Linked DNA regions of Drosophila melanogaster. The protein of the gene in region 2 interacts with the protein of the main gene of each other region in a pairwise test. Each region holds a gene or a part of one and is shown on either strand. Other genes may lie near its edges.

The links.
Region 1: the proteins of OtopLb (region 2) and Prat2 interact in a two-hybrid assay, tested with the Drosophila melanogaster proteins (one large-scale study listed by BioGRID).

What each region holds. Positions count from the first base shown.
Region 1 is NT_037436.4:6,910,509-6,917,805, forward strand, and holds Prat2 (phosphoribosylamidotransferase 2), read right to left. Parts: upstream 4,369-7,297; 5' UTR 4,182-4,368; coding exon 4,133-4,181; intron 4,073-4,132; coding exon 3,906-4,072; intron 3,457-3,905; exon of another isoform or gene 3,249-3,456; intron 3,020-3,248; coding exon 1,592-3,019; 3' UTR 1,491-1,591; downstream 1-1,490.
Region 2 is NT_033779.5:3,273,931-3,281,592, forward strand, and holds OtopLb (Otopetrin-like b), read right to left. Parts: upstream 5,541-7,662; 5' UTR 5,434-5,540; coding exon 5,324-5,433; intron 4,677-5,323; coding exon 4,227-4,676; intron 4,052-4,226; coding exon 3,899-4,051; intron 3,831-3,898; coding exon 3,613-3,830; intron 3,548-3,612; coding exon 2,603-3,547; intron 2,543-2,602; coding exon 2,025-2,542; 3' UTR 1,870-2,024; downstream 1-1,869.

The DNA of each region.
Region 1 (7,297 bases), on a different chromosome or scaffold from region 2:
AGTTGTCACTGTCTGCGGCAGTGGGCACAGGATGTTTGTGTTTGTGATCGACGGCGCACATAAGCAAACGCTCTCGCCTCTCTATGCCATTTTTTTTCCGTGGATATCTTGGTCCTTCTGTCGTATCCTTGTGGCAGCAAACGACGCTGGTGTGTTGGATAGAAGTGCCAGCGTCTGTTTTCAATGTTGCCAGGAGTCGTTTCTTTTATGTAGCCACTTGGTGAGAACTCAGATGGAGTGGTGATGGGGATCCGCCGTAAAAGGGAAGCTGACAGGACCCAGAAATTCCTCTACAGCTTTTGGAAAATTTTGAAATTATAAAGCGACTTTGATTTTTTTCATATCTTATATAACTTTTAACTTCTTAAAAAAAATTAATAATTTACTTTATTAGTGTGTGAAATAAATTATGTTTTCATGAAGAATTTAAATGTTTTTATAACATTTCATTGTCTTTGTTTTTTAAATAAATATAAATGTTGTTACATTTCATTTGCCAAAACCTGAACTGCTTGCAGTATATACCCTTCACAAGAATTAATCAAGCGAGTTACAATGACAGTGCAGTATTATTTTCTTCTCTTATGTCCTCGCCACACTTCAGCGTAGGGAAACCCACTCCCACTTTCCCACCCAGACCCATTCCCACCCCCAAATTTTTCACCCCCACCCCCATTCCGGCTTTGCCAATGCCGCGCAGCTTAGCGAAATTGTTTGCGAAAATACAACACAATATTCAAGAATAATGATGACATTGTTGACTCCAGTACCCGGCGCGAGTCATAAAAGAAAGAAAGAAAGAAAAAAGTTGTATACGATGAGAGAGGATACGGATACCCCTCTGCATAACCGCAAGGACATCTTCCGCAGGATTAAACGCCCTTAACGCCCCGCTTTAGACATTGCAACGCCCCAACTGGGGAGACTCCGCAAGAAAGAGAGCGGAACACAAGGATGTGGGTGGGCGGCAGGACATAGCCGGAAAGAGACGGGGCGAAAAAAGCAAACACGATTACCATATTGTATGATATGGGGCTATATCTGAGCGCGGCTATAACCGGAAGCGGGCGACTCTACTTCCTCCACTGCCCCTGAATCCCTCGGCACACAGAGCTTGGAAATATAAATTGAAATGAATTGAAGTTATGGCATTAGACAGTTTTGAAAATAATCAGACGTTGATGTGGCCCATTAGCATTTAGAGTATGTGTTCCTTGCCTGCGAGAAAGTCAAATAAAGTGAGGAAATAAATAAAAAAATTTTAAATGGTTATAACTAGTAAATAAGTTAAAGGTGGTAACAAAAAAATGTTAAAATTATGTCTTCTTTAAGATATTTTAATATATATATGTATTTTATATATAATATATGTAACTGCTTGTGTTTGTTATTTTCCAGAATGTTTGAAGCGTTCAAATATATGTCCTACTTATTATTCCTTATCTCGAAACAAAAACCTCTATATTGCTTAATTAAAAACAACATTTTTTGTGATAGGTCAAAGACCCGAAATTTTAAATATATTTATTTATATACAAGCTGAAGCTAAGAACTACCTTAATCCTATGAAATTAATAATTGCTGAGAGATTCTACCAGCTGAGCTCCTCCGGCAATCCGCCAGGATACTCGCCCGTTAGGCAAGCGGTGCAGTAGCCAGCTTTGAGTGGATTCACATGGGCCTTGTTCATCTGGACGGCCTTGACCAGACCCTCCACACTCAAATAGGCCAGACTATCCGCACCCACGTGATCCGCCAGCTGATCCGCATTCAATTTGTTGGCTATTAGCTCCTCACGAGTGGGTATATTGATACCCATGTAGCAGGGATATTGCAGCGGAGGACTGGCAATGCGAATGTGCACCTCGGTGGCGCCGGCATCTCGCAGGAGTTTGATAATCGGTCCAATGGTATTTCCCCTCACTATGGAGTCATCGACTAGCACGATCCGCTTGCCCTCGACATTTTGAGCCAGGGCACCAAACTTTTTGGCCACGCCCAACTGTCGCAATCTCGTCGAGGGTTGGATGAACGTGCGGCCCACATAGCGATTCTTGCAGAGAACTTCCCCGAATGGCAGTCCCGACTCCCTGGCATAACCATGGGCAGCTGCTGTGCCCGATTCCGGAACCGAGCTGACCAAATCCGCATCTAATGGCGATTCCCTGGCCAACTGGCGACCACATTGCAGGCGGGCTGAGTAAACCATCTGACCCTCGAACATGGAATCACTGCGGGCAAAGTAGACGTACTCAAAGATGCAGAATGCCATGCGCTTATAGTCCGGTCTTTCAACGATATCCACGGTTCTATAACCATTTCGTGACAGCTCGATGATCTCACCGGGCTCCACCTCGCGAACATATCTGGCTCCGATGGAGAGGAATCCGCAGCTTTCACTACTGACCACCCAACCCTCGGCCAGTTGGTCATTGATATTCGCATGTCCTGCATCAACGGGCACGATTTTTCCCAAGCACAGCGGTCTATTGCCATAGGAATCGCGGACAGCGTAGATCTTATCCTTGTGCATCACGACCAGGGAGTAGGAGAGTGGAGCCAGGGTCATGAAATGGCGAATTCTGGCCGGCCAATTGGGTCCATCGTGCTCCGACACATCCTCTGGTGCACAGCACAGGGATTGGGCAATAAGTTCACTGTCACTGTGCGTAGACAGGCCCACTCCTCGCTCCAGGACCTCCCTCCTCAGGGACTCGCAGTTCACTAGCTCACCATTGTGGGCAATGGCCAGTGCTCCATGGGCAGTGTGCACCACAAACGGCTGGCAGTTCACAACTTCCGAGGCTGCGGCCGTGGAATACCGGGTGTGTCCTATTCCCAGGTTACCCTTTAACTTCCTGATCGCCTCGTCATTGAACAGATTGTTGATCATGCCCATGCCCTTGTGTACGCTGAAATTCTTGGAGGACTTGCCCAAACTGGTCACTATTCCCGCCGACTCCTGGCCACGATGCTGCAGAGCCACCAGACCGAGGCAGATCATCTGTGCTATGTCCAGCTGAAAGCAGAAAAATCCCATTTAGTACTTTATTTTCCTTATTTTTTTTACAATATAATAATAAACGTGAATATTGAATAATAAAGACCAGGGGGTGCTGTGCATCGATATGGCGTATCATTTTCCAAACTCAGTATTAAGAATTGTTATTTTAAGCTTAGTTATTCAGCATTTTCTTGAATCAAATCACATCAGATCAAAGCAACTTAATACTTTTTTTTCTGCATACCTAGCCCAACATATAAGATAGTTTAGTAATGCTAATTCCAATCAGTTGACTAGCAAAACAGATAACTGTATGCCGATTTCCGACCGTGAATACACCAGTACTTTCTGTTATTTTCCATTTCATTACAGTCGAGCAATAAAAACATGAACAACAGAGATTACAACCGCACGGCAAACCAAATCCATGCGATTCAGTTCGATCTCACTGACGTCACCGCAGCCACTGGGCATTGGCCACAGATAGATGGACATCGTTAGAAGATCAGCAGGGGGTGTATCTGAACGGGGCTAACCATTGACCCACTAACCATTGATTGGCATACGTCTGACGTACTACATGGTCGTCCATAGGATCTTGCTAAACGGGTGATGATGGGCTTGTGACAGCCCCAATGACTTCGAGATATTGATATAGTTATGATCGGCATTTCATGGTGGCTATCTACTATGTCCTAGTAATATTTATTATATATTAACAATTGATTGTAATCTGCTACACATATTTTTCCGGAATTTTCCAAGTATTATATTTAAGTTTAATTTTGCTTTAAACATTTTTTCTTAAACCCAAATTTTTACCTTTGTGTTTTTCTATACTATATGTCCTATCTGTCCTATATTACATATTACATTAAAAAAAAAAATATTTTGTTCTTACTTGTGTTGGGTAATCCCCGCAAGCGATGGCTGCAAAAACACCGCATTCGCAGGTCATTCCGGTGGCATCCTCTCCTTTGGGTTGAACAGACTTGTAGATTTTGTCGGGAAACATTTTGGGAGATACGCCGCTCAAGATCACATCCTTTGTCTTCTGGCAGCACTCATCTGTTGCAGATTGCAGATTTAACTGTGCACAATCACTATTAAATATTTATGAATTCTTACCTTTATTAAGCTTGGCACAGCAATTTCCAGAATCACTTTGCGCCATCATATGCTTGGATTTTAGTAACTTCTATTTCTACGTATGTTTTGAGTATCGATTTTCTTGGTTGAGAATTGGTATTGACTACGATTGAGACACTGTACACTTTGCACGAGATCGCTGGCTAAGTCGAACACTCGGTCACTACTGGAATTGTTCACGTCTGCATTGATTGAATGCCAGCGGAATTATGAATGTTCATGTTACAGCCGCGCCTAATTAAACCTCCGATCATCGTACATATATGGCTGGTAGCTGATATACTCGTCGTGGTTATCAGTTGAGCTGGGAATGCAATCTCGGCGGGCGGAGCGGGATCGGGAAGATTCCGGTGGTTCCACAACCGCATCGAGAAACGCATGTCGGGCACAAAATTTGATACCGCCGCCGATTTATGCCAGTTATACCAAAAATAAACACTGTGATTCCTTTCTCACGTTTTGGCTTTGATCAACATCATTCCGATTCAATGACCGCATTATGTCTGTCTAGTCTTCAAAATCACGCATCTCACTTTGGCATTGATCTCAAATCAGCAAATCATATGCGCCTTTTTAAACGAGTCCGACATCGATTTCCTTATCAGCTCGATGCGCTAGCACATGCATTTCAAGTTCAAAGTTTAATAATTTATATTTAAGGGCCCCCCTTGGAGACAGAGTCAGCGAAAAATCTTCTTGTCTTGCCTAAGCTTTTACATAATCCATCCAACTTTCATGTTGACACTTTGTTGCTTATCGGGAAAATGCGTTCAATGACGCATTTTAGAAGTGTTTTCCATTTCGGCGTAAACAATAACAGATTAAATTATGTTTTCCTTTTGCAGCTTAAATGGGCTGTGCTATCGCGAATGTACGCTAAATTCCAAGCCCCCCAGTAGAGCACAATCGGCGAGGGTTGATCGATCCGCTCTCGATCGCACGATTAAATGAGGGATCGTAAACAATAAACAAATTCAACTTCAGTCGCCAACTAATCACTTGTGCTAATTATAGCCACCAGTTGATATATATTACATGCAGGCCACTTGTTTATAGGCTAGAAAACCCAAAGCCATGTGATCGCTGATCAACTGATTTTCAATTTAATTATTATTTTTTTTTTAGCACTAATTTAGCTTCCGATTGGGATTCGCACCTCATCTGATGCAATCGAAGCGACCGCAGGCATAAGCCTGCTGTGGTTAAGTCGTGTTGTCTACCTGTTAAAGTGGGTCTCTCGCCCTCCCCAACAAAACCGATTCACTTCGAATAGGTGCTAAGCAGAACTGAGGGGTCCAGACAAAACACCGCCGTATTTATGAACGTGTTGTATAAGGTCGGCGAGAACGGGACATTTTTAATCGCTAGAATAAGTTGTTTAAATAAACAAAAAATATAATAGAGTTGTGTTGAATTAAAAATTCAAAAATTTATTTGAAATAACTATTCCAATATCTGGATAAGCTACTTTGAATGAAAGTACTATCGCTTTGTGTTTGAATAATTTGTCTATTTACTATAATCATTATACTCCAAATTGGCAAATAGTAAATAAAAGAGTATGCCATTCTTCCAACCAACAATTATTGCCACTTTCCTAATCAAAATACGCGTAATCCCTTCGCAATCTCCATTAGCATCCCCATGACAATTGCTCTATCAAAACTTAAAGTTTCCATTTCCAAATCCGTCGATTCATAGTCGCCCTTTAACAAAGAGATAACCCATATATAGGTAGCCCCCCATCATTACCTTTTATTATCAGCATTTTTCGGCCAAAACAACAAACAATCAAGCAAACAAACGAAATAAACAAAAACTAAGCAAACAAACAGCAAAGCGCAGATAATCAGATGCGGCATATAATGTGGAAATGAGCCTGACTTTTTGGAAGAACCGAAATACTATATGCTGTTTGGGGAGGGGTGTCCAAGAAAAATGACCAAGCGAAAATCGCTGCGATGGGTTTGGGTTTGGGTTGGGTGGCAGTGAGACATGTGTAACCACTTGAATTTCATTTGGCGAAAAGCTTTATCGAAAATTATGCGAATGTTGGTTGACTTTTGGCCAAGCGCCACCGAGCAGGCCGAATTGCTCCGCGGGAAACCTCCTCCAAAGCTCCACCTTACCGGAAAAATAGAAGTGGAAGCCGGCTAATGCACTGACAGAAATGGTTGCTTAAGAAATAGTCAATAGTTATTTCCCTATAAATAAAACAAAAAAAAAAATAATAATAATTAATAATAAATAAAGAAATTTATAAAAATAAGGCTTATAATTTCAGAGAAGAGTTTGTGTATTTGTATATTTTCTTATTAGTAGTATTACAGCCCTATTTTAAGTTTAAAATTTTGTTTTTAATTTCTAACTTATGTTTTAGGCTTTTAATTCTTACTGTGTAGGCAGCTAACTGCTTAGAAGTCTGATAAAAATCCAGCACACACTCACAGCTAAGCAAACAGATAATAAAGAGGAAAATGATGCTTCAGCAAGTGGGTTGGGTTGGCTTGGGTTGGGTTGGGTTCGCGTTTCCAGGAGGGACTTTTCGCATATGTGAGTGCCACACCCCCTGCTGCTCCTTGGACTGCTGCTCCTTCGCCTCGTGGAGTGGCGTCCAGTTTGCAGCTCCTGGACGATGGACCATGGATTGTGGACCATGAACCACGGACCGTCTGCCTCATGCATAATTCAGCAGAATTCTGAATGATTATTCTTTATGGGACTGTTTATTTCTTTTGACCATTTATTTCAAGTTGCTTTCGTTGCCACGCTGCGTTCCCCTGCCCTCCTTTTTCATTATTTTTATACAGTTTCCAGTTGCTTGCGCTCGAAATGATTTTGACCAACGGTGACGCAAAAATCATCAAATGGCCCCGGACCCCATGGCCACATATCTATTGAGCCAAAAACGTTATACCATATACCATACCATCCCCATTCCATTCCACCACTCCATCGCGAATCACCGGAATACGAATCATCCTATCCTTTTGGGCAACCACACATGGATTGGCGCCGCCCACTTTTTTTTTTTTTTTTGGTAGAGGAAAGTAGCCAAGGGCTCTCGGTTTGCTTTCAACGCATCATTTCATTTTATTTTATGCTCTCTCCCGAAGAAGTGACCACCAAAAAAAGGGGGAAAAT
Region 2 (7,662 bases):
TAATTCCGAAGTCCTTTCCCCACTTCCCATCTTGATTAGCATTCGCCGGTTGTTAGCCCGCTTTGCTAGCCCATTTGCCCTGTTTTTAAATTTCCGCTTCCGCTGGCGGTGTCAACTCCATGGCAATGTCATTTCCGGCGGGAAAAGGCGCCTGGGAGGCCATCAGCTTCAAACTGAAAACTGAAAACTCGTCATCCTAGACGTCGACGTCGACGTCCGTCATTGTCCTTAGCGCTTCCGCGTCATTTTCATTTACAAGTCCTTCGCTCGTGCTCTTTTCCCGATTCCATTTTCTATTTTCCGGCTGGGGGGGGGGGGGGGGGGGGGCAGTGGTTGACATCTGGAATAGTCGGCGCGTTTGTGATGGCATCATAAAAAGCGCCATCGACTGCAATTTTTCCCAGCTGATTTATTAATGTTGACAATCGTGGCAGTCTGTTGACATTGCCCCCACCCCACGAAATCCCAATGTAATGGAGTTGTTTCGTCTTGAACTTGATCTAGAGTCGGTAGCCTGTGGAGTTATTTACACTCTAGATTAAATTATAATGCAGAATGTTGTGCCGTTTCAATTCGCTTCACAGTACTCTAATTAGTTTCCTCAGTTCACCTTTTGCTCGTTTTATACTCTTTTGCCTGTGATTATCACGTGTCTGCTGAAAGTTACGAATGGGTTCTAATTAAGGGGTATTTAAACGACTTCTGGATTTAAAATTGATGCAAATACACATATCCGACCATTGTTTAGTGAAATCTTAAAATAAACATCTTTAAAGTACCACGCCATTGAAATGGAGAATTATTAAAATTTATTTATTTTTCAGTTGCTGGCTTCTCATCGATTCTCTTATTTACTCGATAATTGCATCTTTAATACGCGTAAGTCACGTGTGAAACATGTGAGTTTCGTCCTGTGTTTGAGTTGCCATTAAGTTTCTCAGCACGTGACCGGAATTTTATTAAAAACACAAATTTGCCTTCTGTTTCTTCTCATTTTATTGTTAATTATGAAGTATAATGGCGGGTCAGAGTATCGGTAGCTTAAAGTCTACTAAATAAATTGATTGTTTGGCTTTGGACTTTCTGTTGATATTCCAATCACGTGTTCAGCGGAAGGACGTGATAAAGGCATATATCACTCGATTTGTTAACCCCGAATTGCCCGTTTATTATCGCTGTGTAAGCCACCTGAATAGCAATTTTTCCGATTTCCACATAAATACATAATTTAAATGCGCCAATTCATCAGCTTCATGGTTCGATACCTTTTTATTTACCTTAATGTTTCCGCTCGAAGGTCCTTTGCCTAAAATAACCCGCACACATCAATGTCAGTTCCAGTATTCTGGGCGTATCAAATGTATGCCCATGACATTGTCCCATTTCACCGCCCCGCCCCCATTCACATCCTTTCAATAGTCTACCTTTTTTGACATTTTTCCTGGCGGTGCACACGCAACAGGAAAAGGAAATGCCGATTTGTCAATTGTGTGGGCCAAGATTTATATTCGCTACGATAAACTTGAAACACGAATACCTGATTTCGCTTTTGGTGCACACGATTTCTTCCGAGGTGTTCATGGATAAAGGTAATTCGTTAGGGAATCAATTGAATAATCGGAACAGCGATTTATTTTCTTATCTGGCTACAAATTTAATGAGCTATAACTATAATTTCACTTTCAGTTGATTAAAATGTGTTGGCAATTTGAAGTGTCAACTGAAATTGGGCAATCGCAACATTTAATCTGTTGACACCTTAGTTGATAACTAGAAAGTAAACAATATCACGTAATATTAGCGTGATTATATATGCGTTAAAGTCTTCAAATAAATAGATATAAATTAAAACTTTTAACAAACCATCTTGCTGAATAAATTAAATCTTTATTTTGTGCTAGCATTGTCAACAAATTTCGCACATATGCATAAATTAACTAATGTTCACAATTAGTCGACTAAGTTTTAAACTAACTTATTCAAATGTAAGCTGTAAAAACTAATCAACAGTTTCGATTAGGCCACTAATGCGCCTTGGCCTTGTACGTGATTTTCCACACCTCGAAGAGGCAAATGGTCGAATGGAAGCGGTAGAAAATGGCCAGCGGCATGGAGATGTGGGTGATGATCGTCCAGCCCCAGACTCCAAAGAACTCCAAATGGCTCTCCCTGAAGACGGCTCGTCCCTTGATCAGGGTGTTTACGAACCAGATGGCAATGTTGGCCACCAGCAAGAACGTGATGATCTCCCTGCCGGGCTTCCTTCTCACCTGATTGGTGCCCCTGCAGCGCCGATGGCTGGAATGCAGGATGAACATGGTCTGCAGCGAGGTCTGCACCACTCCAAAGACCTCCGCTATAATGCCCTCCACCCGGTCGGGCACTGTGTCCCATTTGGCGAAGTAACTGCCCAGGATGCTGAACATTCCGTACAGGTACACCCCGGTCTGGGCCACAATCAGCAGGAGATTGTCCAGATCCATCGAGTGGTGCTCGTCGCTGGTGTTCTTAATGTAGCGCAGATCGCGCATGAGGATCATGCCTAAAAAAAGATAAATATCGATGTAGGTGGGTCCACACAACAACTTGTATATTCACTCACCCGTTATCACAGCCGCTGCGCACATAAAGTACATGAAGGTCTCCCACAGAGTGACCTCCTGTGTGGCCACCAGTTCATAGCCCGGCTGGGTGTACAGCACAAAGTACATGATCATCGAGATAATGGTCATGACTATGATCAGGATCCCGAAGAAGAGTCCCTTGTGCGACTGGGAACAGTCCACGGAGAAGTGATGGGCAGGCTTGGCAGCAGCGGGCTTGACGGAATTCTTGCGCGTCTTGTCGATGTCCGGAATCGATTTGACCGTCTTCCACATCTCGAAGAGGATTACGGCGCATATGAGGGAGTACTCGATGGTGCAGGGGAACAGGAATGGCGAAAGTTGCTGCACCAGAGCACCCATAATCGTGGTGCGGGAGCAGCCGCTGAAGGCAGCCGGCGTGGGCGACGGAGTAATGGTCATATTCACAATCACAGAACTCACATTGGCCACCAGGGTGTTATTAAGGGCATGATGATGATGATGCTGATGCAGGGACTCATTGACAGCGGCCCAGTCCGTTCTACTCATGGAGCTATTATGAATGACCAGGTCGTGGGCGGGATCCACTTCGTGCTGGCTGATGTGGAAAATTTCGTGCTTGGTCTCCTCCACCAGGACGTACAGCCACTCACACAAGTTGGTGGCCACCATGTGCATGAGTCCGAAGCGGGAGGTCACCTTGTGCCGGGCCATGTCCATGTAGGTGGTGTTCAAGAAGATGAACTGCACCTGGGCGATGCACAGGACCATCCGGCAGATGGGTGTAATGGCCACGAAGACATCCCGGCATCCGGGATGGCCATTCAGCTCGAAGAACTGGCCAAACTCCAGGCCCGAATACACCATAGTTCCAATGGCGAAGGCGATGGCTCCCACTCTCAAGTAAAAGCTGCCAAAATGGGTTACCTTGTGCTTCAGATGCACATTGCTGTTCTTTTCGTCTGCAAATGTAGAACAATCGTATTTGTATTGACCAAATTATAACAAGAAATCCCCTATAGCTTACGATAGTCCTTTAAGGCATTGAAGAGCGATCGATTACGGAAGGCACTAATGTACAGAAAGATCACAAAGAGTATGCTGCCCACATAGAGGTATACGTAGAATCCCTGGTACACATAGGTCGGTATCTGATCGGATATAACTTCCGTGATCGGCAGACAAACGCCTAGCAGTACCAACAGTTTGCAATAGGTTGCCGACAGTGCTGAACTTATGGCATCGCTGAGATACAAGAGATACATTTACGAGATTAGTTACCAGATCATAAAGTTTTAGTTTCCACAACTTACTTGCCAGTGCGTCGGTTCTTATCCTTTTGTTGCTTGGCCTGAAAGCTCTTGGCCCCATTGTCGAAAAAGGCCGTGGATCCATTCCTGGCACTGGTGGCTCCACTCTGGAAATTTATGGTCGCTGTGCTGCCGCTCGCTGTTCCCTGCAGGTTACTGAAAAACACAAGAGGTTATATGTACTATAAGAAATAGAAGGTCTAGAAATACGTAATGTGTTAATAAGCCAATTTGGGAAGTATAAGAATAAAAACATATAATATTGGTTAGTTTCTAATGCGATTTGAATGCTGTTCGATGACTTTGTTATGTTAGGGAACCATAAATGTACCCATTTTTGGCAGTCCTCGGCGACAGGAAACCGTTGCCGTCCCTGCGCCCAAAGAGCGGCGGTCGCTGGGTGAGGATCTCTTGGAGGAGCAGCGATGGCCTGCGTGACACCTGCAAGGTGCAGGCGGAGTCTTCGTGGTGCATCCCGACGGTGGGAAGCGGGAGGAGGGCCTGCCGCTGGCTGCCGTGCTCCACGAGATCCAGGTTGGTCTGGGACTTGGCCAGCGGGGAGATGGGATGCGGCGACATGACCGGAATGCTGTGGTGTCCGCAGTGATCACAGGACGTTCGGGCGTAACGGATCACTTGATTCGAGGTGGCGGCCACAGAGTGACGAGGTGTACCAGGTACCGAGGTGGGCAGCGAGCTTGGCGGGGATCTCGAGAACGAACCCGACTTCTTTGGCGCACTTATGGTTATGTATTCGCAGGCATCGGAGGATCTGTGGCTGCTGTTTGAGGAGCGAAATAAGGATATGGGATATCTAATTTTCCGACCAGTGGCACATATACACGCAACCCGACAGGTTCAATGCTTTCCGATGAACTGAATTTTCTATTCCGACTTTGGATTCTTGTGCCTGGTATTATCAATATGTGGATTCAACCTGACCCTGAGGGAATCGCACACATTTTCATGTATTTCGCAGCTTTGATTGGTTTTTGATCGATTTCTGCACGTCCATTGAGATATTATCACTCAGCTGGCTAAGAAACCACGCGTGTTCTTTCGGAAATACCTCTAATTTGTATATAAGTGGACAGATAAAAGGGGGTATGTTGTCCCATCAATCAAGGGGTAGATAAGTTCTTGGTGTTTACATAAACATTAAGTGATCACGTTTTCCTTTTGTTGCCTGCAATCAGTGTCTGGAATTTGAGCCAGGGCTTTCACACGAAAAAGAGCTAATGTCATAGAACGACATCTATAGGGGTTTGACGAACCACTGTGATAAGATATAGTACTCCAAAATATTTAGAATGGAAAAGTCTACTGTCTGCTAGTCTGGTACAAATAGCTTTATCTTGAGATCTTCTATAGCCAAAACTCGCTGTGTATATGTGCCACCCCAGTTGAGAATTTGAATGCGAAACTAACTCATTTCCCTTCGATATCACATCGTGGTGGTAATGGACGCGCTGTTTGGTCCTCCACAGATTAATGGGTTCATCGTACATGTCTTTGGATTTCAAGTTAATTAGCGACATTTCCGGGCCGAGTCGCAATTTAATTTATGAAATCAAACGGATCGCGATCACCGATCTCCAAGACGCGATTTTCCGCGCCCTTACAGACTCGTGTCAGTGGGAAGACTGAGACTTTCTGAAGCAGTTACTCCAATTGTCGGAGCTATCGGGCAGACGATATTTGACTAACTGATTAGCGTTATTATTAGCCTGCTATTTTTACCGTACAGGTATGAGTGTGATCCGTGTGTGTAAATACATCTATTGCAGTCCTATTATTGCTCTAATTTATTAGCCTATTGGCACTTCATCAGTCGGACCTGAATCATGTACCCGCATGTTGTACATAGTACTGGATTTTTGAATTTGTTTTGAAATCTGTAATTATACGACGGCAATATGACGTCATCACAACAAGCTCGTCAATGTTGTTAATTATCGTATATATAGAGTTGTAAAAAGCTCTGCCTTCTCATAGCAGAATTCGTCGGTTATCTCGGCCACTTTAGCATTTAGCAGTCTGACTCTCAGTGCTCTTGGCTTGTTTACTGGATCAGATCAGTTTGGCGATCTCCAGAAACGCTAATGTTTACCCACATGATTCACTTTTTAGGCTTCCTAATTTTTTTCATTGTACTATGTGACGTTGTAGGTGAATTTATTTGGGTAAATAAAAAGTAAAAACCTGTAGGTTGACAAATCAGCTTCAGAGAAAGTTACGTGACAAGTGTTAAAAAGTTGGTCAAAATATTATGAAAGACCTAACACATCTACGAAGCGTCTGAAATCGAAATGGCAAGTCGAGTTTAGGTGTAAATATTACGCCATATTTATTTAGCAAAATATATAACGAAAATTCACAGGTTTAAGTATCTCGATTAGAGTTCATTTTATTAATAGTACATGATCATATTAACCAGGGAAGTTCTTTATAGGAATATTCTGATTCTATTTGGTAACTTTACCTGAAAGTAACAGTCGGCATTCTTTCGTATTGAACTCCACTGTTGCGGTCCACCATTAATGTGTTATCAGAATAGGTAAATTTTAAAATTTTTTCAAAGACAACTTCACATAAGAACTTTTATTCCGCTGCTAATTTAATACGAAGGTTCATGGTGCTGTAATAAAATCCACCGCTAGTAAAGTTGTGCAGATGGCAGCAAAGTTCTGGGAAAACTGAAACCAAACCCAGACATCGATACTTATCTTCGGGGTCTTCCTCATGCTTTTGATACCAACATACAGATACAGATAGCCAACGCCCCGGGCACACGTAAATTTGTGGTTAGTTAATACCCAGATACTAGCAGAGATTCCATGCCCGAAAACCAAGACAGTAGCAAGTATCTTATCTCTCTAAGGGTCATCATTCCGACCCTGAGTAAGCACTCCTACCAAATGGGCAAAACAGTGTTTATTGGCACTATCAGTTGCCTTAAAATCAGTGCAGCCATATCAGACGCCTCTCTGTTTACGTTTGTAATCAATAACTTCTGTCAATATTTGCCAAGACACATACACTCTTGTTTTATCGATTTTACCATATAATTTCCCAGCCCACTCTTTGAACTTTACGATAAGAAAAATAGACCAAGGAAGACGGCCAAGTTCGCCATTATTAAAATAAAATGGCATGTAATTTGCAGATAATTTCAAACGCGTCAGGTGGTTATTTTTGGGCTACTTACTTTTGAGTAGGAAATGCGTAACTATTTGGATCCCTCAATGTTTATGAATCATTACTTAAAAAGACTTTTCTAAAGAAAAATGTATATGTTTGTCTCCTTAATAAAATTTATGACTGCCGAAAGTGAACAATTCATTCGCATTTATTGAACCACCACAACAATGTGGGAAGCCAACTGCCGTCAAACCAAAGCACTTGAGCAAATTTGCGAGGTCATGGCCATAAATATGTAGTTCCCAGAGCAGATGCTCCACCAACAGACTAAGGGCTCCTCCAGCTGGCCCCAATTTCGATCTGTGTATAATTTGTGCTACAAACTTTGTCATGTGAGCTGATGCAGTTAGTGAAGCTTCCACTAGCCCAGATGCAGTCCTCGCTCCAAGGAGTATGGGTTAGTTACGCTCGCAGGAGCAGGACCAGTACCCAAACCAGGACCACAGCCAGAATTTGCACCATGAGAGGAAGTTTACAAGCACTTGGGAAAAAGTTGTTCTAAACATCAAACATTTGAATGGTAAAATATGAAGGAATTGGAGATTTTCAATATAATTTTATTAAGC